Linked DNA regions of Caenorhabditis elegans. The protein of the gene in region 1 interacts with the protein of each later gene in a pairwise test. Each region holds a gene or a part of one and is shown on either strand. Other genes may lie near its edges.

Evidence for each region.
Region 2: the proteins of F55D12.1 (region 1) and C53D5.5 interact in a two-hybrid assay, tested with the Caenorhabditis elegans proteins (one large-scale study listed by BioGRID).

The regions. Positions count from the first base shown.
Region 1 is NC_003279.8:7,879,130-7,889,100, reverse strand, and holds F55D12.1 (uncharacterized protein), read right to left. Parts: upstream 4,783-9,971; 5' UTR 4,750-4,782; coding exon 4,620-4,749; intron 4,294-4,619; coding exon 4,183-4,293; intron 3,952-4,182; coding exon 3,874-3,951; intron 3,633-3,873; coding exon 3,526-3,632; 3' UTR 3,337-3,525; downstream 1-3,336.
Region 2 is NC_003279.8:302,792-316,457, reverse strand, and holds C53D5.5 (Gamma-glutamyltranspeptidase 1), read left to right. Parts: upstream 1-5,667; 5' UTR 5,668-5,670; coding exon 5,671-5,696; intron 5,697-6,696; coding exon 6,697-6,916; intron 6,917-7,023; coding exon 7,024-7,253; intron 7,254-7,666; coding exon 7,667-7,887; intron 7,888-8,643; coding exon 8,644-9,367; intron 9,368-9,849; coding exon 9,850-10,168; intron 10,169-10,369; coding exon 10,370-10,558; 3' UTR 10,559-10,647; downstream 10,648-13,666. Other genes in the region: imb-3 (Importin N-terminal domain-containing protein), read left to right, coding at 1,480-1,635, 1,684-2,304, 2,356-2,570, 2,616-3,532, 3,580-4,622, 4,674-4,824, 4,882-5,057; C53D5.1 (FAM69 protein-kinase domain-containing protein), read right to left, coding at 11,378-11,530, 12,203-12,365, 12,549-12,670, 12,730-13,255, 13,628-13,666.

The DNA.
Region 1 (9,971 bases):
ACATAGAAAATGTCATTACGGATTCTGTCAAACTTAAACGAAATGACAATGTGTTCCAAAAGCCGCTATGAAATAAAAGAAAAAATATATATAATCATCATTTTCCGCCAAAATACCAAATATAGTTTTAGATTCAAGAAAAATTGAAACTAGTAAATTTTCCAGTGCTTCAAAGCGTCCGTTTCAGACACATACTGTATCAAAAAAAGTTTGATATTTAATATAACCATTTCATGCAAAATTTTTGGGTTAAACTAGATAGATCATTAAATACAACAACTTTCATTCCTATAAAAACTTTTCGAAAACCGTCATATCGAACAGGTCACACCAATTTTTTTCTTGAAATAACTCGCGTACCTGAAAATTAATTTTTTCATTTTTTGCATGCGAACCTGAAAAAATTGTATTGCCAATGACAGTTTCAATGTCTGCCAAATTTGACTCATTGTGGTCTGTTGTGAGATTTGTTTTGAAATAAAACAAAATTGTATTCTTCCATCTCGTTATATTGTCATTTCAAAATTAATTACTTCAAATATATGAGTATGTAGAGCAAGTTGTCAAAGTATGTATGTGCCGACTGACGAAAATTAGAATTACTGGAAAAAATTACATTGCAAAAAAAATTCAAAATAAACACATTTATTTTGATTTGAAATGTTCACTTTGGACAATCAACGCAATTGATAAATTGTCGCGACATCATAAAAATGTTTTGCAGCTTTGCAAGAGCTATATAAAACTTTACCAAAAACTGATTTAAATTTGCAGAAATATAAGCAAATGTGAGCAAGGTGTAGCTCACGAAATTGCAATAGCCATCTAAAAAATTACAGGAGTTTTCAAACTAAAATGCACATATATATATATATATATATATATATATATATATATATATATAACGGTTGGTATGAAGTTGCAAGATGGCGCTAGGAAGTTTTGTCAAGAAAGTCACTATCGATTAAATTGACTTCGACGTTTCATTCAAAAAAGAGCTGGAGTACTTAAAATTGATTCCAGAGCTTCTTCTTATTATATTGTGTACCTGCTTCTCTGTTTTTAAAAAATATGTATGAAGAATGGTTGAAGAATGTAAATGCATTTTTTAAATGTAATACATTCAGTGTTTTTCGAGGTAGTTGTAAATTTCGATTTCGGCCAGGACCCTTATTCTCACACTCAAAGCGTAATTCTCTATACAAAACACGCACTCTGAGTTATCTTTGTACATTTCTGAATTCAGTACTATGAGCCTCTCCAAGCTTTTTCAAAATGTGACCTATTATTATAACATGGCAACCGACACTCATGTTTTATGGTTTTCCCATAAAACGTTTGATTGCTATTCTATTTTTTGTTTTTTATGCCTTTTTAAATCATGAAATTATACTAATTTTTTCATCGAGGTTCAATAAAATTTTCAAATAAAAGTTCGAATGTTATAAAAAACAATAGTAAATAAGATAATTCATCTTGGTTCAAAATATTTCAAGTTCCATATTTCAAGTTTCATATTTCTGGGATTCTAAAAAATACATTTCCGAACTTTCAGGAAATTATTTTTGTTCAAATGCAGTTCATGATTTTGTTTTAAGTTACAAAAAAACAAACCATTTTCGGGGGAAAATAAGCAAACAATGCAATAGAGCTACTTGGAGGGGACCAATTGAGAATCAATAATCAAACAATTAGGTACCTTGCAAATAGCTCTCCAACATTGAATTCAGTGAATAATTATCAGAAAGTTTGTTTAAAATGTAAGTCAATCTTGTAGCACGAACCAAAATGAACGAAGAGCTATAAAGAGGGCGGAGTCGGGGAGGATTGAACAAAAAATAGGGCGGAGCCGAATTGAAGTGGCAAAGCGAAGAAGTGTCAAGTGGAGGAAGAAGGAAAGATAGGATAAGTACCTGTTGATTTAATATCAATTGATTTCATTGATATTAAATCACTTGGTAATGAAGGTACAAGAGCATTAAGACAGAATATTCAGAAACAAATCTAATAAAATTTGTTTATTAAGGTTAAATCTAAAAATTCGGATCTAGAATCTAGAAAGTCGGGCATAGAAAGACCCATGTTTTCTTCAATTACCTTACTAGGAAACGTTATAACTTAACAATTCAATAGAAAAAATTAACGTGTAATGCAATCCGTGACATATTGAGCTTCAGAATCTGTAATTTATTTTGACGAAAGACTTTTGCGAGTTTGGAATTTTCGTCTAAAAATTTAGTACTGAACCCAGTGTAATTCATATTATTACTATGAATCTCGCCAGCAAAAATTGTAATTTCAACTGAAAAAAATTTAGTACAGGCGCACAAGGGGTCTTCCACTAAAACACATTAGAGATTCTGGAAGGCCAAAATGTCAGCTATCACATAACAGGTTCAATTTTTCATATCCCACGATATAGTTACAAAATTGCTTAGTTCTAGGCAGTACATAAATGCGATTGACTTAAATTTACATGTGGTATTCGAAATATAAATTCCGATTATTTTGAGGAACCCATACTTTTTTTCAACAAAAAACAGTTTAGAATAAAGTTTTGCAGACGTGGAAAAATCTACCCTCTCTCTCAGACGGCAATTTTAAAAATAGTTTATAGATTCTCAAACTCAAGAAGTCAGATTTCGAATAATACGTTTAGTTTCATTTAAAAAAAAAGCGCGAGACACACATATATGTCTCACGCTTACTAGTTAATAAAAAACGTACGAAATGTTTTCAGCGCATTTGTAAAAATAAAATTGAAATTATTTTGCAAATTGCATGTCAAAATGTTGGTAATTAGCAAATATCATCTAAAACATTAGTGGTCAGATATATGTTACAAACGGCAAACATCTGTGCCCATGCATGGGTATCGTACTAGCTAAGAACGAAAATTGGTCCTTATCAAAAGTTCGAAGCATCAATTATTTCTTGTGTTCCATTAGTCTATTCTACAGCATCATCTTGTTCGAATCCAATCCAATTTTCTTCTTCTCCAACTTTTTATTCTCCAAACCCATCTCATTCCCTTATTCAATAAGTACTTCTCTTCCCTCTTCTCTCTTCATCACATCGGTACCTGCTCCTTGTTATGCTCTGAAGATGAGCCGACCTAATCTATTGCACGGTGGGAATTCATCTGCTTCTCTTCATCTTACACACTCTTTCTCTGTTCAATTTTGGCCGACGGCTATGTCCCAAATCTTCTTTCGATTTAAATTCCCCCTTCTGTGCTCTGACCACTTTGAAACCAAGTTTTCGACAAAGTTTTGAAGAAAATAGTTTTACAACAGGGTTAACAAAGTTTGGTGTTTAGCCTTCAGAACAATTGTAAAATTTAAAGTTTTTATTGATCGGAGAAAAAGTGAAATAATGAGATGAAATGGACTGGCAGCATAGTAATGTCAAAATTAGACCGAAGTTGAAAACTTTCTAAATAATCAGTTTTTTAATCATAATAGTCTAATTTCAACTAGTTGAACCCGATTTAAATTCGGTTGGAATGTGATGTTGATATATAAATTATATAATTCCAACTTCTTGAAGCCAAACTGCAGCAAATACAATAATTACAATTAGAATTGGAATGCAGACAGCAATGCAAACAATCCATCCAATTGGAAGTGGCACTGAAATTTCAAAAAAAAAAGATCGAAGTGTTTATATGTAAATGCTCAGGTGTGCAATAGGAAAGTCAAGAATTCAGAAAGTTTTCTCATTCCTAAAACTGAATGTTTTCAAAAACAATCTCAAAAGTTGTTTCAGCAAGATATTCATAATACAAAAAGTATAAACTTTATAGAAATTACTTTTACTCCAAACATTTTGAGGTTTGACAAAAAAACGATTTTTCCGAAAATAAAAACTTACTTTTCCTTTTGGTATTCTCAGGAAGGAACGTGGTGATGGTTGTAGATGGTCGGGCTCTCAGTTCGCATGCAAGTTGGCCTACAAACACATATTTTGAGTTATTAAGAATTTTCTTATTTCAAAATTAAATGGTACTTATTCTCAGAGGACCTAGAGTTTTTAGGGGGCTTCAGGCGGCTTTGTGGCGAATAAAAAGTACAATGTGAAACTGGATTAAAATTTCCTCCGGTACTGGACTTGGAAATTATTACTTCTAATGTTTTTCACAACGATTTTTTAAATATTGCAATATTTATTCAAATAACCGACCATGTTCGGATTGTTGATCTCTTCTGTATTCACATGCCAATCGAGCATTTTCTCTTTCTTCGTATGGATGTGATTGAGGCAACGGATTGCGAAGAATTGAGCTGGGGCGACCTGAAATTTATTCCATTAGTTCTAACATTTTTGAGACCAATTTTATGAGATACACTGTTCATATCGAAAATATCGACAAAGCCTTCTTCTTGCGACTGAAACACTAACACAAAGGTTGTCTCTGGCACATCTCGATTTGATTTGATCAAGAAGCTGTCTTTGACCACAGAATTCAAAAATCTATTGAAAACATTGTAATATACAACTAAAACAAAAGTTCCTTCACTTGAGCGTTTTACATACTTTTCGCAAAACCAAAAAGTATACTTTTCTGCCAACACTTCCTAAGGTTTTCTCAAAAGTTTTTTTTTAAAGAAAACACTTACTTTGTTCTTGATGCAAAGGTTCTCTTCTATATTCACATGAAACAAATTCTCTTCTTTCTGATATTACATTCTGTGGTGGATGTGGAGATTTTCGTTCATATTTTTCAAAAGTTTCTCGTGGATCCAGCATTCTTATCCTTCTGAATAGTTCCAAAACTTTCGACTTGAAAAATTAAAAATTAAATAAAACAAATACCCGACAAAAACAGGTGGTTTTTGAGCATTTTTGAACGGATAGGGCTCATTTGTTAAATATTCAACCATATGGGAAAAGACAAGAGGAAGAGTTAAAAGATAGTACAGAGAAGATTAACATACGCAGAGAAAAGAGGGAATAGCACGTGAAATGGTTACTATGGTAACGGGGAATTCTGGAAGAAGAATGGAAAAATGAAGAAAAAGAAAAATAAGTAAACATGGGACAAGAAGAACAAAAAGAAGAGATCGATGAAGAGGAAGACATTTTGGAATTGGAAGGAGAACGTGCGAGGTCAGGCTGGAGGAGATGACTGGCGGCAATTCAAAACAGGTTGCGAATCGGAAAATATTTGAAATTCGGAGAGAACACAGACATATTGTCTCTCATGTGTCCCTCTAGTGGTGCCATTTCAATAAGCAAAGTGACCTCTCTCCAGTGAACAAGTGAAAGGTGTTTGGATGGATGTCATGTGGAAGTATTAATATGTATACAATACTTTTTAGATTGAGAGTGATTTGTAGAAAACTGAATACAAGAGCATTATGTTCAGTTGTTTACAAAAAAATGCTATGAATGCTACAAATGCTATAAATACTTTCCAGTTTTGGTTTCCAGTTTAGGGTGCAGATTGGGTGCAGTTGGGTGCAGATTGAGATTTTGTGCAATTTTTCTGTTGACGGTACATACTGCTTTTTTGAGCCAACTCCTTTTTGCACTTGTAACACGTTGGCGAAGCTCAATTGTTGCTAGTTCGTCAACTTTGTGCGATGAAGTTTTCTTGCTCTCAGGTTCTCCATAATTCCAAGATTACCAAAATAAAATTTACAGCGAGAGGAAAATTCGAAGCAAATTGATGACCCAGCTCGAGATTCGCAAAGAAGTAAATTGAGTTATTTTTAGTGCCAACCACGTGGTTCTTCAAAATCGACACTTCTGATATTTAAGATGCCACAATGAACGATTTGAATGAAACTACATGGATAAAGAAAACAGAGCAATAGTTAAAAAGAGCAAAAAAAAATCTCAAATCGATCAGAAGATTTGCTCCATGTAGCATTTATAGCATAGCGCCAATTGTTTAAAACCACAGACATTCAAACTTATCGTTGAGTTTTCCTAATTTTTTTTAATTCCTCAATTCCAAAACGCTTAAAATTATTTAAAGTATGATTACCGTGGAGTTTTGACAACCCGCTAAAATACCATGCTCTCCAATGGAGGTGTTTAAATCTGAACAAAATTGTACCAATTGTTTAGAACCACAGATTTAAAAACATGGTTTATCACATTAAAAAATTTCAATTTTTCTGAATTCAAAAAATTTTCAACTTTTTTTCAGTACCGGCATCAGATGACTGAAAAGTCCAAGGGGTGACCTAGACAAACTTATGCCCGGAAACGGTGATATCTTTATGCATTGCAAATGACGAATGTTTTAGAAATGTGCAACTGTATAACAACCTGAATTTTATGTGGTTTTTTTCTGCAAAGATGTTTTTTTTTGGTTATTTTACAGCTGCATTTATTGCAGATATTTTTAAACATAACACTGATTGACCAAGTGTGACCCCCTACTTCTAATATCCTTTACTTTCCTCCCTTCAAGTGTTTATCACTTTACTCAATGATGAGTACATAATCTGAAACATCATGAAGTTTTGGGTGTGTGTCATTTAATAATCACTTATTTCTTTTCCTGATCATCTGGATCATATCACATAGTCAACATCTTATTCCGTTACAATCATTTTTACGAACTTTGTGTGATCCATATCAATGTGAATCGTTTATCCCACACACTTTTTATCGTTTTTATTATTTCTCCGCCACCTTTTTCATAGCTTCACTATTTATTTATTGTAGCTAACATGTGTACTCATAAGCTTATTTTTATTTATTCACACATCAACTTGTGTTTAACTTTTTCAAAATTTGAGAAAATAAAATTAATTTTTCAAACTTATGAAGATGGAAACCTAAAGTGCAGTATTGTAGTCTTCAAAAACCAAAAAAAACCAAGTTACTTTTTAGACTGGAAAGCTCCAATCTCGAAAGCTTAAACGTTGATCTAGAGGTTTTGCGTTGATTTTGTTAGCTACCTACTTTCGAAAGTATATTTTGAGCCTTTCATTTTTCAATTTTAAAATGTCAAAGACCTTACAAGGGAAGGCTCTGAACTCGTTATCGAACTTCGTTACGCCACTATATACATTCGATAGAGAATAGTTACAGATGATCACTCCAAAAAATTTGGCTGCTTCAGAGCAGGTTCGACCAAGTTACTGTAAAACCTAACTTTTTCACCAAAATCGAATAGAAAAATTTCAGAATTTTTTTTCAAAAAAAAAATTCGATTCGACAATTTTGGCAATTGCCGATAGATGATATTAATTCGAAATGTAAAGGTTTTATGAATATCGTCAGTTGAATGGCATCGCCGTCACCTTTACAACTTTTGATTGCTTCTCATTGTCACATCGGTATTTTTTGCATTATTTTCGTTCCGTGTGTGAATGATAAATTGAACGTCAAAAGATGCAGAAAATCAGTTGATATGAACATAGAATGATACGCTCAATTGGCACTTTCGTTTGCGGAAGGGTAATGAACGAGTTTTTTGACGCCATGTTATGTCTTTGAATGCCAATCTTTTGTCACTTTCATTTACTACGGTTTCACGAGATATTTACCGACGTGTGTATGTGGATTATTATGTCAGCTGAGAAACTGAGGTGAATGCTGGATTTATTGGTGGGATTTCTTGGAGGAATCAATAGTTCGGCAATTAGAGTTTTAATATTAAAACAAACGCTCGAAACTATCTAATTTACCAAAATATCATCAAAAACAAAGAAACTTATTGAAAAAAATAACTATTCGAAACGCGATTTTCCAACTCTGAATTTCAAATTAAAAAAACAACAACCTTGACACTTTTCTGTTCTCATCGAAAATTTAAAGTTTACAATTTCGGGTTAGCCACAGGTACAGGCTTTACACATTGTTGTAAAATTGATGACATCTAACATTCCACCTAAGTCATCATAGTTCACTATTTCATTTTTGAAGTCATTTATTTCTATGAACATCTGGGTTATGAGTTAATGATAATAAATAAAAGAAGTTTCTGACAATAGAGAATAGTTGTGAGTAGTCTTTGCTTATCAATGCGAAATAGATCAAAATACAAAACACGGAAAACCGCAATCTGATGGGATTAGTTTGGTACGTTGTGTTCAGCTTCTACCTGATGCTTCACATTCAGATTCACAAGGGTTCAACCAAGGTTCTAAGCCAGAAGGAACATCTTTGATTCGGTCAGAACAAAGTAGGGATGCACACATGCAGGTATTCTAGTTTCCTTCGGGTAATCCTCTGTGCAAACTTAAACACTTTTTGCTCATCTAAACTAGTTTTTGATAATGAATCACTCTACAATCGAAAATCAATTATCAGCTTCAGCTTATCACTACCCAATCCGTAGAATTGTGTTTATTTAAACAGTCTTCCTACCATCAACACGTCACCATGGAATTCTCGGAAGCCAGTCAGTTAAAGGACAGCTATCAATATAGCCGATCGATAGCATCCTTTTATCTTTCCCCGTCTCCAGCATTTTCTTTTCTTGATAACAAGGCGAGGCTTTTCCTTTCTCAATTCTATCAATGCCTGGGATACGCGAGGTCTCGTCTATCATCACAGTCACCACAAGCTTCTCCTTCTTTTTCGGAATCTCCCTCGTTTCGTACGCTGGTTTTCGTTTTATTTCAATTCGTTTTTTATTCGAGTTTTAATGATTTCTGATTAAAACTTCTGATTAAACTAACCATTAAAACTGATTCAGTAAAAATAATTCAAAATCAAAAATGATAATGAGGAATTTTAAGCCATTTTCAAAAAAAATTTGTAAAGTCCGAACGCCCCCAGTCTCTCCTGCAATATTTGTTATCTATTCAATTAATTTTTTCACACTTTTTAATGATCTTCTCCCAATTTGCATGCGTCTATACCGTTTTGATTCTTATCCATTTTCTCTTCCTCCACCCCCAAAAAAGCTTCATTGCCCTTGTTGCGTAATCCCAGATGAATATCTTTTCCGTGAATGACTGACAGACACTGAAACACACGGCACACGAGCCCGGTTTTTCCAAGGCCTTTTTTTGGTCGAAGAGGCTTCATCGTTTCACTGTAATTTACAAGCATAACAATGAGGTATTTAGAAGGCGTTTTTCTTCACCCGGTGGTCATGAACAGACAGTTACTCGTCCAGTTTTACGACACTTTGTCCCTTTTGGCTAAATGGCTACGATAATTAGGAAAAGAATGAGGAAGGGATAAATGGCATAATTGCATCACACGTGTCTATCTGTATATCTGTATTTTTCGATGTCCGAACTTATAAAGTACATTTTAACGAGTGAAGTTTCAAAAATTTAAAATAACAACTCTCAAATGATTGGTTGTTTGTCTTTTAAACAAAGCTAGTCGTATGGTATTTTCTATGTTGCCTTTTCAAGTTTAATGAATTACTTTAAACTATTGTTTCCTTAAAATATTTATAATTCTCATCATTAAATCCAAGACTTCTATGATATGGTCACGCGTCTTTGAGGCGCCTGTCTTAAACCCGCCTGACTCTCGCCTACACATTTCGGATTTTTTAATTTAAAGGTGGTGTACCGAAATCTGGGAAATATTTTTGAATTTTTTCACATAGATATTCGGAATCAGGGGAGAATTTGGATTTATTTGAAAATATTTCCCAGATTTCGCACACACACTTCGGAATCAGTTAATAAAAAGTGGAGTACGGCTACTGAAGAAAATGTTGAAACTATTCCTATGAAGCTATAATTATTTTTCTACTTCACGATAATTTATTGTTGTAATAAATCAAATCAAATTAAATTTATTAGATATTAAAGTAGCTTTTCAAAAAAATTTAGAATTTTTTTACAAAATTTCAGTGAAAAGGGGTAATTTTTCAGAGTTTCATAGTTTTTATTATTCGTATTCAAACATTTCAGGGGTCGACTCAAAAAGGCTTTTTATTTTGAAAATATGACAATTTGCCAAAACTTTGACTTCAATTTTTGAAAACCTAAAGCATTTTACAGTGTTCTGATTAGGTTTACTCAGTTTTTTGTAATATT
Region 2 (13,666 bases), 7.6 Mb from region 1:
TCACAAAACATTTTTTTTCGACTTTTATTCGCTTAAATAATGAGAAAAGCGCTTTTAGCCAGAGCTGATATTGACGAATTGTCGTCAAATAAAATGCGCGTACGCAAAGTACGCAATAGTGTACAAAACTTATTCGCGTTGAATATTCAGTCAGCCAAATGGGACTACTGTAGAAATTTCTTCAGCCACGTTAGCTTTGCCTCCCCGTGTTTCGGGGAAATTTCCAATATGATTTGCGCGTAAGATATGATGCATGTACGCAAATACCGAGATTTATTGCACAATATTGTGCGCGCTACGCAGAAATGGCGCGAAACTCGTAGAATGCTCATTCTTGCAACCTGCGATCTATCAAATTTCGCCCCTCCACTGGTTTTGATGTTCTACGTTTGCACTTTTCGGACAATTTTTCAATTCAAAATTAAAAAAAAGGAGACCCGAAGAACTCGGGGGATGTCCAATTGGGGGGATTACCAACTCGGGAGTTTGGCCCCGCCCACAGAACCGTGGCTTGCAATACGCCCATTTCTGCAACTGCCGCACGGTTTTAAAATTATTTTTTCTTGTTAATTCTCGCTCTATTGAGAAAAATACAGTTTTAAAACCGTGCGGCAGTTGCAGAAATGGGCGTATTGCAAGCCACGGTTCTGTGGGCGGGGCCAATCCCCCGAGTTGGTAATCCCCCCAATTGGACATCCCCCGAGTTCTTCGGGTCTCAAAAAAAGTACACTTTCTCCTTCATTCCTTGAGGAATTTGTATCACAAGTAGTTAATTATTACTGATTTCCCAGCTCGCACATTGTTTTTACTACTGATACGTATTTACTCTTTTTACTCTTCTGTCTGAAAAAAAAAGCGAAAAACACACTCTTTTCAACTGCGTCTCTTTCAGAATTACTCTCCATCGTCGCCAGACACTGGTTGCCTGGAATAGGTATTAGAGATTTTGCCGTTTATTTTTTTCTTTTTTTGTCAGTGCACTGGCCAATGTAATGCCAAAATTGCAAACAGTTCTCTATGCAAATATTAGTTTCTCGCTGACTCATTCCATCGATTTTTTATTTCGCAACACGCTACCATCATCATATTCCAAACATAAATCATCATCGGTTGTCGCCGAAAAGTTGCGAAAACTCGCTGAAAAAACCAGTAAATGTCGTGAAAATCACGTGAATCCTTTTAAAATTTGAACTTCCCGCCGTGTACAGTTTAAAGTGCGTGTGACGCAGCAAGTGCGCTCCGTTGAGAATCGTGCACTCGAGGCGTTTTTGTCCCAAAATTCAATATTTGTTGGCCTATTTTTCACATTTTCCGATAGGTTTTTTGTTGAAAATGCCAATTTTTATACTAAAAATCTATTTTCCTCAGCGATTCCGCGTATTCCCCAGGCGTTTATCTGCAAAACCGACTCGCTTTCATCTTTTTCCTTCTCAATTTTGAAATTTTTAGCACATATTCTGATTTTCAGGGTTCCCTACAATGGACGTCAATCAATTCACTGAGCTCATCACAAAACTGCAGTCAGCAGACAATGATATCCGAAAACAAGCTGAAGAAGTCTATGAAAAGATTGAAGGACCAACCAAAGTAGCTGCACTTTTCGAGGCCTACACACACCACACGAATAATTCTGATGTTAGTTCACTCAAATTCCTATATATTCCATGAATTTTCGATTTTCAGGCCAGATCCACAGTTTTGGTGTTTCTGCGACGAGTTCTCGCCAGAGACTGGGATGCGATTTGGGAAACGCTGAACGAGGAGAACAAACAGCGCATTCTCGCCAAAGTTCTCGAGATGATAGTTCACGAGACCGAACTCTCGATTAAGAAGAAGATTGCTGATTTGATCTCTGAAATCGCTTCAAACCTCATCGACGATTCTGGAGATATGACATGGGGAGGAGTCCTCGAGCTGATGGATCATTGTTTGAAGAGCGAGGATCTTACCGGAAACTACATAGCCCTGCTTATTCTTCGCGGATGCCCAATAATTTTTGGAAACAGGCTGGCCCACTTCCTTCCAACCCTCAAAGTTGTCTTGGAAAAGTGCATGGCTACACCGGATTTGCAAATCAAGGCCACCGCCGTCCGTGCTGTTATCGCTTTCGCTGTTGATAATGATGAGGAGAAGGATGTTGTCAGGCTTATGACCTCTCTTGTTCCAAATGTTCTTCAAGTTTGCAATGAAACCAGCGACGAGGATGATTCAGATGGACCACTCGGAGAGTTCGCCGAGCTCGCCTCTTCTCTGCCAAAATGCCTTAACACTCATATGTCTCAGGTTCTTCAAGTCACTCTTGCTGTAAGTAATTTAAATGGCCCAATTTAAAAATTTCATTTTTTCAAATTTCAGATTGCTGGAAACAAGGAAAAGAACGAGATGGTCCGTCAGAACGCCATCGAAGTTATTTGCTCGTACATGGAATCCGCACCAAAAGGACTCAAGAAATACGCACCAGGAGCTCTTGGACCAATTCTCGAGACTCTTCTTTCATGCATGACCGAAATGGATGACGATGTGCTCAATGAGTGGCTCAACGAGATCGAAGAGGAAGAAGACTATGAAGAGTAAGGATAAATTTTTAGTTTTTCTTCAATTAAATTATTTTTCAGTATCCCAATCATCGCCGAAAGCGCCATCGACCGTGTTGCTTGCTGCATCAACGGAAAAGTGATGCTCCCAGTGTTCCTTCCACTTGTCGAGAAGCTTTTGACCAGCGAAGACTGGAAGATGAAGCACGCGGCTCTTCGCGCGTTCTCCGCCGTCGGTGAAGGGTGCCAAAGATCTATGGAACCACACATAGAGCAAATTATGGCTCATATCACCAATTACGTCAATGATGCTCATCCAAGAGTTCAATACGCGGCTTGCAACGCCATCGGACAAATGTCTTCTGACTTCGCTCCAACTCTTCAGAAGAAGTGCCACGCCGCCGTCATACCAGCTCTTCTCGAGTCTCTTGACAGAACCGATGTTCCACGTGTCTGTGCTCATGCCGCTTCGGCTCTTGTCAACTTTGCCGAGGAGTGCCCAAAGAGCATCATTGGACAATATCTTCCATTCATTCTTCAGAAACTCGAAAATGTGCTTTCCGCTGTGTTCAATCGTCTCGGAGACAAGAGATACCAGGTTGTCGTTGAGAACATCGTCACCGCCATCGCCTCCGTCGCTGAAGCCGCCGAGGAGCTCTTCAAGGAACATCATGCTCGCCTCATCCCGAACCTCGTTCACATTCTTCAAAACGTCGGAGAGCTCAAGGAGTTGAGAGGAAAGACCATCGAATGCATCTCTCTCATCGGATATGCTGTCGGAAAGGAACAATTCCACGCTACTGCAATCGAGATCCTGAACCTTCTCGGAGACGGAATGAAGGATTTGGCTATCGATGATCCACAATACAGCTACATGATCAGCTCATGGACTCGTTTCTGCTCTATTCTTGGAGCCGATTTCGCACCATTCCTCCCAGTTGTCATGGATCCAGTTCTTCGTGCCGCTCGTTACCGCCCAGACTTCAATATCTTCAACAGTGAGTGTTTTTTAGTTTTACGTGTTAAAAAAATATATAAATTTCAGACGAAGATGTTCACGAAAACGAGGAAGGAGTTGAATACCACGGAATCGGAGGAGAAAAGACTGTCGGAATCCGCACCAGCGGTCTTGAGGAGAAGGCAACTGCTTGCGATATGCTTGTCGCGTTCGCCAAGGAGATGAAGGAGGCTTTCATGCCATACGTCGTCGACGTCTACGAGCTCGCCATCAAGAATCTCGATTTCGGACTTCACGACGGAGTTCGTACGGCTTCCGCTGAAATCATGCCATGCTTGTTGACCTGTGTTGAGAAGCAAGGATTGGCTGACAAGCGTCGTTTGTGGTGCGAGTTCTTGAAGGCATTGACGACCTCTATGGAGGAGGAGGACGATGTCGAGATTCTCGCCTCGTTCATGACGACCATCGGATCGTGCATTGAGGTTATGAAAACCGAGGGAATCGCCGAGGAAGAGGTTCAACTCATCATTTCGGTGCTTCTCAAGCAACTTGAAAACTACGGAAAGAGAATGAGCGATCGTCCAGTTGAAGATGAAGATGACGATGATGCTGAAGCTAAGGAGGAGCTCGATTATTTCATGGAATTGGAGGCCTCATGCCTTGGAGCCATCTCTGATTTGACTCACTCTCTTATGAAGGAGTTCAAGGGAACTATCTTCGAGGGAATGATCAACGTGTTCAACTGTGCCATTCAACTCATCGAGGGATCCAAACAATACTTCGAGAGACAATGGGGAATGTGCCTTCTCGATGACGCCATCGAGTTCGGTGTCGGACATATGCCAACTCGCTTCCCGAAGCTTATTCCAATAATGTACAAGTTGTTGGGAGATGAGTATCCTGAAGTGAGACAAGCAGCGAGCTACGGTTTCGGAGTTATGGCCATCAACTACCACCAGATCAGCGACTACCGAAACGAGATTTTGAGCTGTTTGGAGCCACTGGCCGCCATGATTCAACGAGAGGACGCCCGAGCCACCGAGGAGAGCACTGTTGCCACGGAAAACGCGATTTCTGCATTTGCCAAAATCATCGGCAATGTGCCACTTCCTGCTGAAGCCTACGGAAAGGTTGGTTTTAGAATTCAGTTTTTCAAGAAAAAAGTTCCATATTATTTCCAGGTCGTCGAGATGTTCCTGAGCTGGTTGCCAACATATTCAGACACCGAGGAAAGCCCCTACATTTACACGTGTCTCGCCGAATTGTTTGATAAACAAGACGCCGCACTTTTTGGACCAGAAAATCAGAATCTTCCGAGAATCTTCCTTGTTTGTAAGTTCTAATCTAAAAAAATCCGTAACTTATTTTATTTTTATTTGTATTTTTCAGGCTTGCTCTCAATCGCCAACGATGCTTTCAACGACGACGATAGCGGCAACCAAACCAAGCAAAGAATTGTCACAATCCTGAAGCAAATCTACGCATCGTTCCCACAATTCGCGCAGCAAGATGGAATCGACGAGCACCTTACCAGTGTCCTTCAACAAACTCTCAATGGGCAATAATAAGGACTTTTGTTGTGTTTTTTTTTTTGCTGTTATCTTCTCCATCTTCACCGAAATGAATCTTGTTCACTGTTAATCGCTTGTTTCGCGGCTATCCTCCTATCATCATCATCAGTTTCTTCTTTTGTTCCACCACTTCTCCCCGATGCCACATTTTCTCTAATTTTTATTAGTTACCTATCGACTTTTTTTCTGTTGTGTTGAATATTATCCTCATTTTCAAATCTACTCGTTAGTTGTTACAGTTAAAGTTTTTGAAAATAATTTCAGCCAAAACCTCCACTTTCTCCTATACTCCAAATCTAAAAGTCATTCTTCCGTAGTCCTCATTGTTCCCCCTTCCACCCAACTCTCTCCCACCACAGAATATCTCTTCTGTCACTTGAAGACTATCCTCGATAAAGAGAGCTATTGGCGGTTACCCCCTCTTCTCTTCTCTTCTCGTTTGTCATTGGAGCGCGCTTACACGCAGCAAACTGTAGCTCTTATCTAGTTTTGCGATAGAATTCCGTTATCGTGAAAAGTTGCAATTTTGACATTCTCGTCCTAAATTTCCAATTGACAGCGCTTTGACTTTTTCTATGATTTTTTAATTCATACTCAATTCTGAATAATGACTCCTGAAGGGCAATCGACGAGGTGAGAGAAAAATCGATAATGTTAAAAATTCGCGGGTTTTTCGAGAAAATATTATACGTTTGTGAAAAAAATTCGAATCGAGACCCAAACGAGGCGGCATGAGTTTCTGAAAAAAATATATATATGGATTCAAGATTTAAAAAGTGCATTGTTTTTAAATTTATAATGCTGGAAATATTACCCAAATGCGAAAATACGGTACCAGGTCTCGAAACGACCAATTTTTTAAAAATAAAAACAAGCGTGCGCCTTTAAGGGAGTACTGTAGTTCTCACATTTGCAAATTCTTTCAAAAAAATCATGATGCTTTGAAAACAACTATCGATGAAAATTTAATTTTTTGAAAAAATTGATACAACTTTTTTGGTATATGAAAAACGGGCAATATTTTCGGAATTTCGAAAATTAAATTAAATTTTATGAAAAGTCGATAAAAATCGATACATTTTTGTTTGAAATTGCACAAATTCAAATTTTAGAATCTAGAAATCTATAAATTCAAATTTTTTAATCCAGAAAATCGATTATTTTCTCAAAAAATTGAAAATACTCTTCAGATTCATCTTTTTTGTGGAATATTCAAATTTTTGGGAAACCTCTGATTTTTGAAAATTCCATTTTTAAATCAGAATTATTACGGCAACACAAAATTCTGAGAATGCGTATTGCGCAACATATTCGACGCGCAAAATATCTCGTAGCAAAAACTACAATAATTCTTTAAATGACTACTGTAGTGTTTGTGTCGATTTACGGAAATCATTCATTAGTCGATAAATTGTTTTTTAAAAAACACAAAAAAAATGAAAAAACCGAAACCCCGTAAATCGACACAAGCTTTACCGTAGTGATTTAAAGAGTTACTGTAGTTTTCGCTACGAGATATTCTGCGCGTCAAAAATGTTGTGCAATACGCATTCTCAAAATTTCGCGGTCTTGTAATAATAGTGATCATGCCACTCAATACATCAAATTTGACGCGCAAAACTCGACTTTTCAGCAGTAACCCACCTCCTGTTCAATACTATAACACGTTTCCGGACGATGATAATTTACCGCCAGAATATGGACCATTTGATGAAGTTGAGCCGCTTATCGAGGCCGAGCAACCCATGAAAATCCGTACTTTAGTCGCGGCGGTCGGCTTAACGGTTCTCGTATTCACGTTGTTAATCTCAACGGTCGCATTCGCTTCATTGTATTTTCATTTACTAATGCAGGTTTGTTAGAAAGCTAGGCCACGAGGGTGAAAACTAGTCCGCAGTCGGTTCATGGCTGGCCGATTTGCTACGTGGCCGATAAAAATAAAACTCGGCAAGGTTTCCAGAACAATGCCCGCCTACCCCGTTGGCCTGGACCATCACTTTCTCCACTCGGAAAATATTCGAAAGCCGCCGTCGCCGCCGACAACGAAATTTGCTCAGAAATCGGTCGGAATATTTTGCTGAAAGGCGGAAATGCGGTGGATTCGGCAATCGCCGCACTTTTCTGTATCGGTGTAATGGATACACATTCGGCCGGAATTGGCGGCGGACATTTTATGACTATTTATAATGCGTGAGTTGTTGGTCTCGCCACGAATTGGAGCGGAACATCAATAATTAAAAAAAAAGATAATTATTAATATTGATTTTTCAACTAAAAATCAATAATCGAAAAGGAAAACAAAGAAGAAAAATTTTGGAAGAAAGAATGATTTTCCTAGGCCATTAAAAACATTTTTGCAAACATCACATTGTGGCCTCACTGGTTTCTGGCCTTCGTCAAAGCGTTTTTCTCGCGCTCCATTGACAATCGTCTACACGACGCTCCGTAAATTTACCCCGGTCGTGGCCTAGTCCAAACGGGCTAACTCGGCAAACTCTTCCATTTCAAAATATGAGGAAAGCCAGAAGCGCGTGTGGCCTTTAAACTTCTGCCGTGGCCTAAAAATATTTTCAATGACTTAGAAACCTCTAAAATTCTTCCAGAACGACAAAAGAGTGTACGGTAATCGATGCTCGGGAGATTGCTCCGCTCGCCGCAACAGAGGAAATGTACCGTGACAAATGGAATCAGTCGAGAATCGGATGGAAGGCGATTGCGGTGCCCGGAGAGCTTCACGGCCTCCGGACTGAATTCGAGAGATTCGGAAGTGGAAAAGTCGAGTGGAGACAGTTGTTGAAACCAACTATTGATTTGTTGGCTGAAGGTGGGCACTTTTTCTGCGAGCCTAGAATATTTCTGTTGGCCTAAAAAACTCCTAACGGCGTAGAACATTTTTGATGCTCAAAAACTTTTCTGGTGGCCGTTTTTAGACCGGCCAACAATCCCTAGGGGTAACGGATAACGGGGGCAACGGATTTAATATTCCCCGGGGACAACGAAAAAGGGGGGGGGCAACGGATTCAACGCTGCTCGAAGGCAACACAACAGGGGTAACGGAAATGGAGGCAACAGAACAATAATCCCTGAGGGCAACAAAAAGCGAGGCAACGGAATATTGAGCTCTTGGTAAGTTAAATGTTGAACTTTTTGTAAAAATCAGTTTAAAAGTTTCTCCAATTACTGTGTACGTTAAGATGGGTATCACAATAAGTCTCACCACGGCGTGTCTCACCACGATGGGTCTCATCACGATGGGTCTCTCAACGGAGGGTCTCGCCACGATGGGTCTCACCACGATAGGCCTCGTCACGATGGGTCTCGTCACGATGGGTCTCGCCACGATGGGTCTCGCCACGATGGGTCTCACCACGAAGGGAGACGGGCCCAAATTTTTTCAGGAGGAGAAGACGAGTAGTTTATTACATTACTAAAAATTTCTAGACCATCAAAAAATTTCTAGGTCACCATAAAAATTCTAGGCCATCATAAAAATTTCTAAGCCATCATGAAAATTTCGAGGTCACAAAATAAGTAACTATGTTATCGGTTCATGTTTCTAGGCCATCCTAAAAAATTCCAGGCTACCCAACGTCCCATGCCCTTGCAAAAGCTCTCAACCAAAACGAGCACCAAATCCGCGCGGAGCCCACCATGAAAAACTTCATCAACCCCGAAACTCAGCGTGTCTTCCAACCAGGAGAGCAGATAAAAACCCGCCAAAACCTTCTAGAAACATTCCGGCTACTCGCAAACTCCACAGATCCCATCGCCGACTTTTATACAGGTCGGCTCGCCGAGCAACTCGCCAAAGAGTTCGAAGCCAACGGTGGGATCATCCGGCTTCAGGACTTTAAAAATTACAAATCAATAGTCCACGACTCAAAAAATGTGATCTACACAAAGCTGAAAAACGGGCGCGGAGTCTGCGGCCCGCCGCCTCCCTCGGGCTCAGCGGTGGCTCAGGCAATACTTAACGTGATGGATGGCTTCGAATATAACATGAAGTCGTTCAACGAAATCGCAACGTTATACCATCATTTTCTGGAATCTAGCAAATTTAGTTATGCGGCTAGAAGCTGGCTTGGCGACCCGCAATTCGTGGCAAACGCCACGGAAATCGCCAAAAATATTACGTCAAAAGAGTGGGCGGATTGGGTTAGGTCGAAGATCACAGACACGACGCATCCTGATGATTACTATGGAGGATCGTTTGAAGCACCACCGCAGGATCATGGAACAACTCATGTATCGATTATCGATGCAGACGGCAATGCAGTTTCGGTTACGTCTACCATTAACTTATAGTGAGTTTGGCTTTTTTAAAGGAAATTTTTGGTGGCCGAACTTCGAAAACTCGGCCAGCAAGTGAGAAGTTAGTCCTCAGTCGACAAGCAACTGCAGTTGATAAAAATGAACAAGTTCGAGGTCGTCACCAAAAATTTTAAACTAATTAGGCCAGGGGATGATTTTAGGCAGTCTTAATAGTAAATTGTTTACCACCTGGATTTTATACCGAAGTGATTTCATAATCTGGGCCACGTGTATAATTTCTAGACCATCAACCAAAGTTTATATACGCCCACCTGAAATTTGGAGGCCATCACCTTTCAATTCTAGGCCATCAGTTAAAAACATTTTTAGGACGACGTTCAATTTTTAGGCCATCAGTTCAAGTTTATAGGCCACAAACTTAAATTTCTAGGCCATCACTTTGACTTTTTCGGATATGAAGACATTTTCTAGGCCACCGCCAAAAAAACTCTTCCACCATCTCAAATTCTTCCAGCCTGGGTGCCCTAGTATCCTCCGAATCGACGGGAATTCTCTGGAATAACGAAATGGACGACTTTTCCACTCCCGGTCATCCGAATTTCTTCGGTTTCCCACCGTCTCCCGCCAATTTCATTCGCCCTGGAAAACGCCCCATGAGTAGTCAAAGTCCATTAGTGATCTTTAACACAAAAGGGGCGGAGCTTATGGCGGTCGGCGGAGCCGGTGGATCCACCATTATTTCGGGTGTTGCTGGAGTTGCACTGCATGCGTTATGGCTGAAAGCAGATGTTAAACAAGCTGTTGATGCTCCAAGGATGCACAATCAGTTACAGGTAGAGAATTACACGCGAAATTTGATTTTTTTTTTGTTGGAAAAATCGATAATTGTCAAAAAGTTGATTTTTTAAAAATAAAAATCAATAATTTTCAGAAAAAAAACTTCTGAATTTAATTTTCAATCAATTTTCGACTTTCACATGAAATATTTTTCAATCAATAAAATCAAAACCTTTCCCAATTTCCTTATTTTTTAGCCAAATTACACGTGGTACGAGCCAAACTTCCCGAAAGCCTACGTGAAATCCCTGATCGATCGTGGTCACGTAATGAAGGCAGTGAACAATTTGACAGTTGTCACCGCCGCCGAACGACTTTCCGACGGCCAAATCTATGCGAACAGTGATTTCCGAAAAGGGGAGGAGTCAGCGCCAGCGGGATATTGATTATTATGTTCATATTTTAAATTTTGTGACTTTTTTGTTGATTTTTTGTAGAAATCGGGTGAAATTTGAAAATAAATGTTCTAGTTTTCGCACTTGTGTTAACACTTTTTTACTGGTCTTGTGGCCGCGTAAATAGGAAACTCGGCCATCGATTTTTTAGAACATTTTTTATCTTAAGAAAAACTCTTTTCATAATGTTGTGTATTCGAAGGCGAGACGAGGAGGAGAAGACGAGTAGTTTATTACATTACTAAACTAAGGAATAAATAAGTTAGTTCATAGAGTTCACGTTGTACGATCTTCTTAGCCACGTCGTGGGTCAATACACGTTGATACCCAACACATAAATAGTAAGTTTAGTCAGGGTTTTTCAGTTTTCAAGCCAAAAATTTGTCTGTAAAAATTCAAAAAAGGAAACAAAGTTTTTTTTTAAATTAAAATTCTTCATATAAATTCAGAGTTTTAAAACTTCAAACCCGTAACAATGAACGAGGTACAAATGAGACAAGGTGAAACATATTACACGTTCGTCAAAATTTTTTTTCGAGGAAAGTGTAATAATACATGAACCCATAATAAAACGCGATGATGTTGACGATGATGATGATGATGCAGAGCAAAAAATGATGACAGAATTATGAGAAAAAAACGAATAAAATTTCAAAATCCTAAGCTTTCGGGCTCTGTGAGCCATGGAAAAATGAGCCAGAACACAAAAAAAGGAAAATATGGAAAAAAGCACCAGAAAATTATAAGACACGGGGATTTTTTGACACATGGAGTAGAAGAAAAAAAAAGAAAGAATTGAGCTAGATTCCTTTAAACATCCGGCAGATTCCATGACCATGTTAACCGTAATTCGTTGAGTCGAGTTGTGATATTTCGTCCTGTATCCCGGCATGCGACCAAATATTTATTATTTTTGGACCATTGATTTGCGAACAGTTTGTTGACCAGTTTATCGCAGAAGACCTACAAAATTTGGATTTTTTTTCAATTTTTACACAAAAAAATCAAGAAAAACTTTGTTTTTTAGAATGCAAAATAAATGTATAAATTCTAGGAGTTTGAACTTTTTAATTAATTTTTTCTTTTACGTTTTGAAAAAAAGGAACTACAGGCCTGTCCGGGAAATTGTAAAGTTGAAAAAAATTTTCCTAACAATTTCACAACTTTTTTCCTATTACAAAGTAAATAGGTAAATTTTTTTCTGATAGTGGAAGTTAAATTCTACAAAATAAACTCCTTTCAATCAAAAAAAAAATCACATTTCTGACTGAAAATTCTCAAATTTTCAGTTTTTCTTTAGAAAAAATTCGGAAAATTCACTTTTTTAAAAATTTTTTGTCAGTCGTTCGTTTTTTGAGAATTAAAACTTTTAGGAAATTTCTATATTTTTTTTGAAAATTCAATTTGAACATCAGAATGTGATTTTCGATTTTTGGAAAAATCAAAAAGGTTTTTGTCGAATTTATTGGTTTTTTATGAATATTCATCAATGCTGTTGCTTTTTTAGCAATTTTTCACAGGTGGACGAACTTTTGCAAACTATGAAAAATTCGGCCATCTGGAAAAAAGCTCGTTTTTTGCCGATTTTATTGATTTTTCACAATTTTTCCAAACTTTTTCAACTTTCAAGCTTACCTCCAAATTCCCGTTACTCCTCGACGAGCACACCATATTAGAAGTGCATCTCGCCTCACAGTCTCCAATTTTACAATCATTATCACTTTCACACGGACGTCCTTTTAGGAGAGAATCCAATTTCGATTTCGTGTACACCATGTCACCGTCCATTAGAGCGAATCTGCAGAAAAATTGAGAAATTTGGATTTTTAGGGGTTTTCAAAATTTGAGTTTCCGGTTGGATTATCATCAATTTTTTTGTTTAAAAAATCATTAATAACTTTTATTCGAATTACGTTTCGAATAATTGAAAATGTAGATTTTTTCGGAAAAAAAAATCAAATAAAAAAACAGGCAGACCTACCTTTTCGGATAATCTGCTGATAACCCGAGATTATCAAATCGAACATCACACCATTGAAGGGGTTCGTCGAGAAATTCGTATAAGAGCTTCAGGGTTCCCATGACATGCACCAAGATTTTTGCCTGTAAATTTGGATTGAGAAAATTTTTTTTTTAAAATCAAGTTAAAAAAAAATCCCCACCTTCAAATTCGTATAATACCCTTTCATCTTGAACGCCACCAGTGACTCAGTCTGATACATATGTCCACACGTCCCAATGAGCTTCGGCGTGACACGTGTCAACGGTAACACTCGGAACAGGATGAATTCAGGCTGCTTTAACAAAGCCCACAAGGATCGTCGATCCGCTTTCGACATGGCTTCTCCCTTGGTCCGTAACAGTGTCGGCCACACAGTCTCCATTAAATGCCGTCGATAGTGTTTCGGCCATCCGAGTCTCAGCTCATCATTCACCATATCGACTACTCGATCCGAGAACTCTGCATCCGTCAGATGGTCTTTCGGCTCGTCGAATTGATCCATAAACGGTTTTGTGCTTTTATAGACAGCAATCTGTCCGCCATCTTTCACTATGACCACAGTCTTGTGCCCTTCGTAAAAGTCAGTGACAAGCCAGTTTCGATCATAGCAAAGTCGATTACAAGAGTCTCCGGAAACGTCTCCTCGCTCATAGGCATCACATAATCCGGTGAGTACTTGATTGGCTCTGTAAAATCGAAATGTCTAATAAATTATCAAGAAATTTGATTCAATATGAAATTCGGTGTTTTCAGAAAATTTCGAGTAAAAAAAAACTAAAACAACAAAACATTTTGACGACACCATACGATAATGATACTATTCATAAAATAGTTATTTTTCTGTTTTTTTTTTGCGATTTGCATCAACTCTTCATAAGTATGTCGTAAAACATTGTGTTAAAACTCTAGGAATGCCGAATTATCGGAGTTGGGAGGGGAAAAAGTGATACTTCTTTACCAAAAACACAGTTAATATAGTAGAAATTAATTGTGAACTCAATAAGTGTGGAATTATCGAGCAATTTCCTACAATAGTAATATGTTCCCAACATTCTCACCTTGTTAAATTAATACCAGGCCGCGGCTCGTTGAGGTCC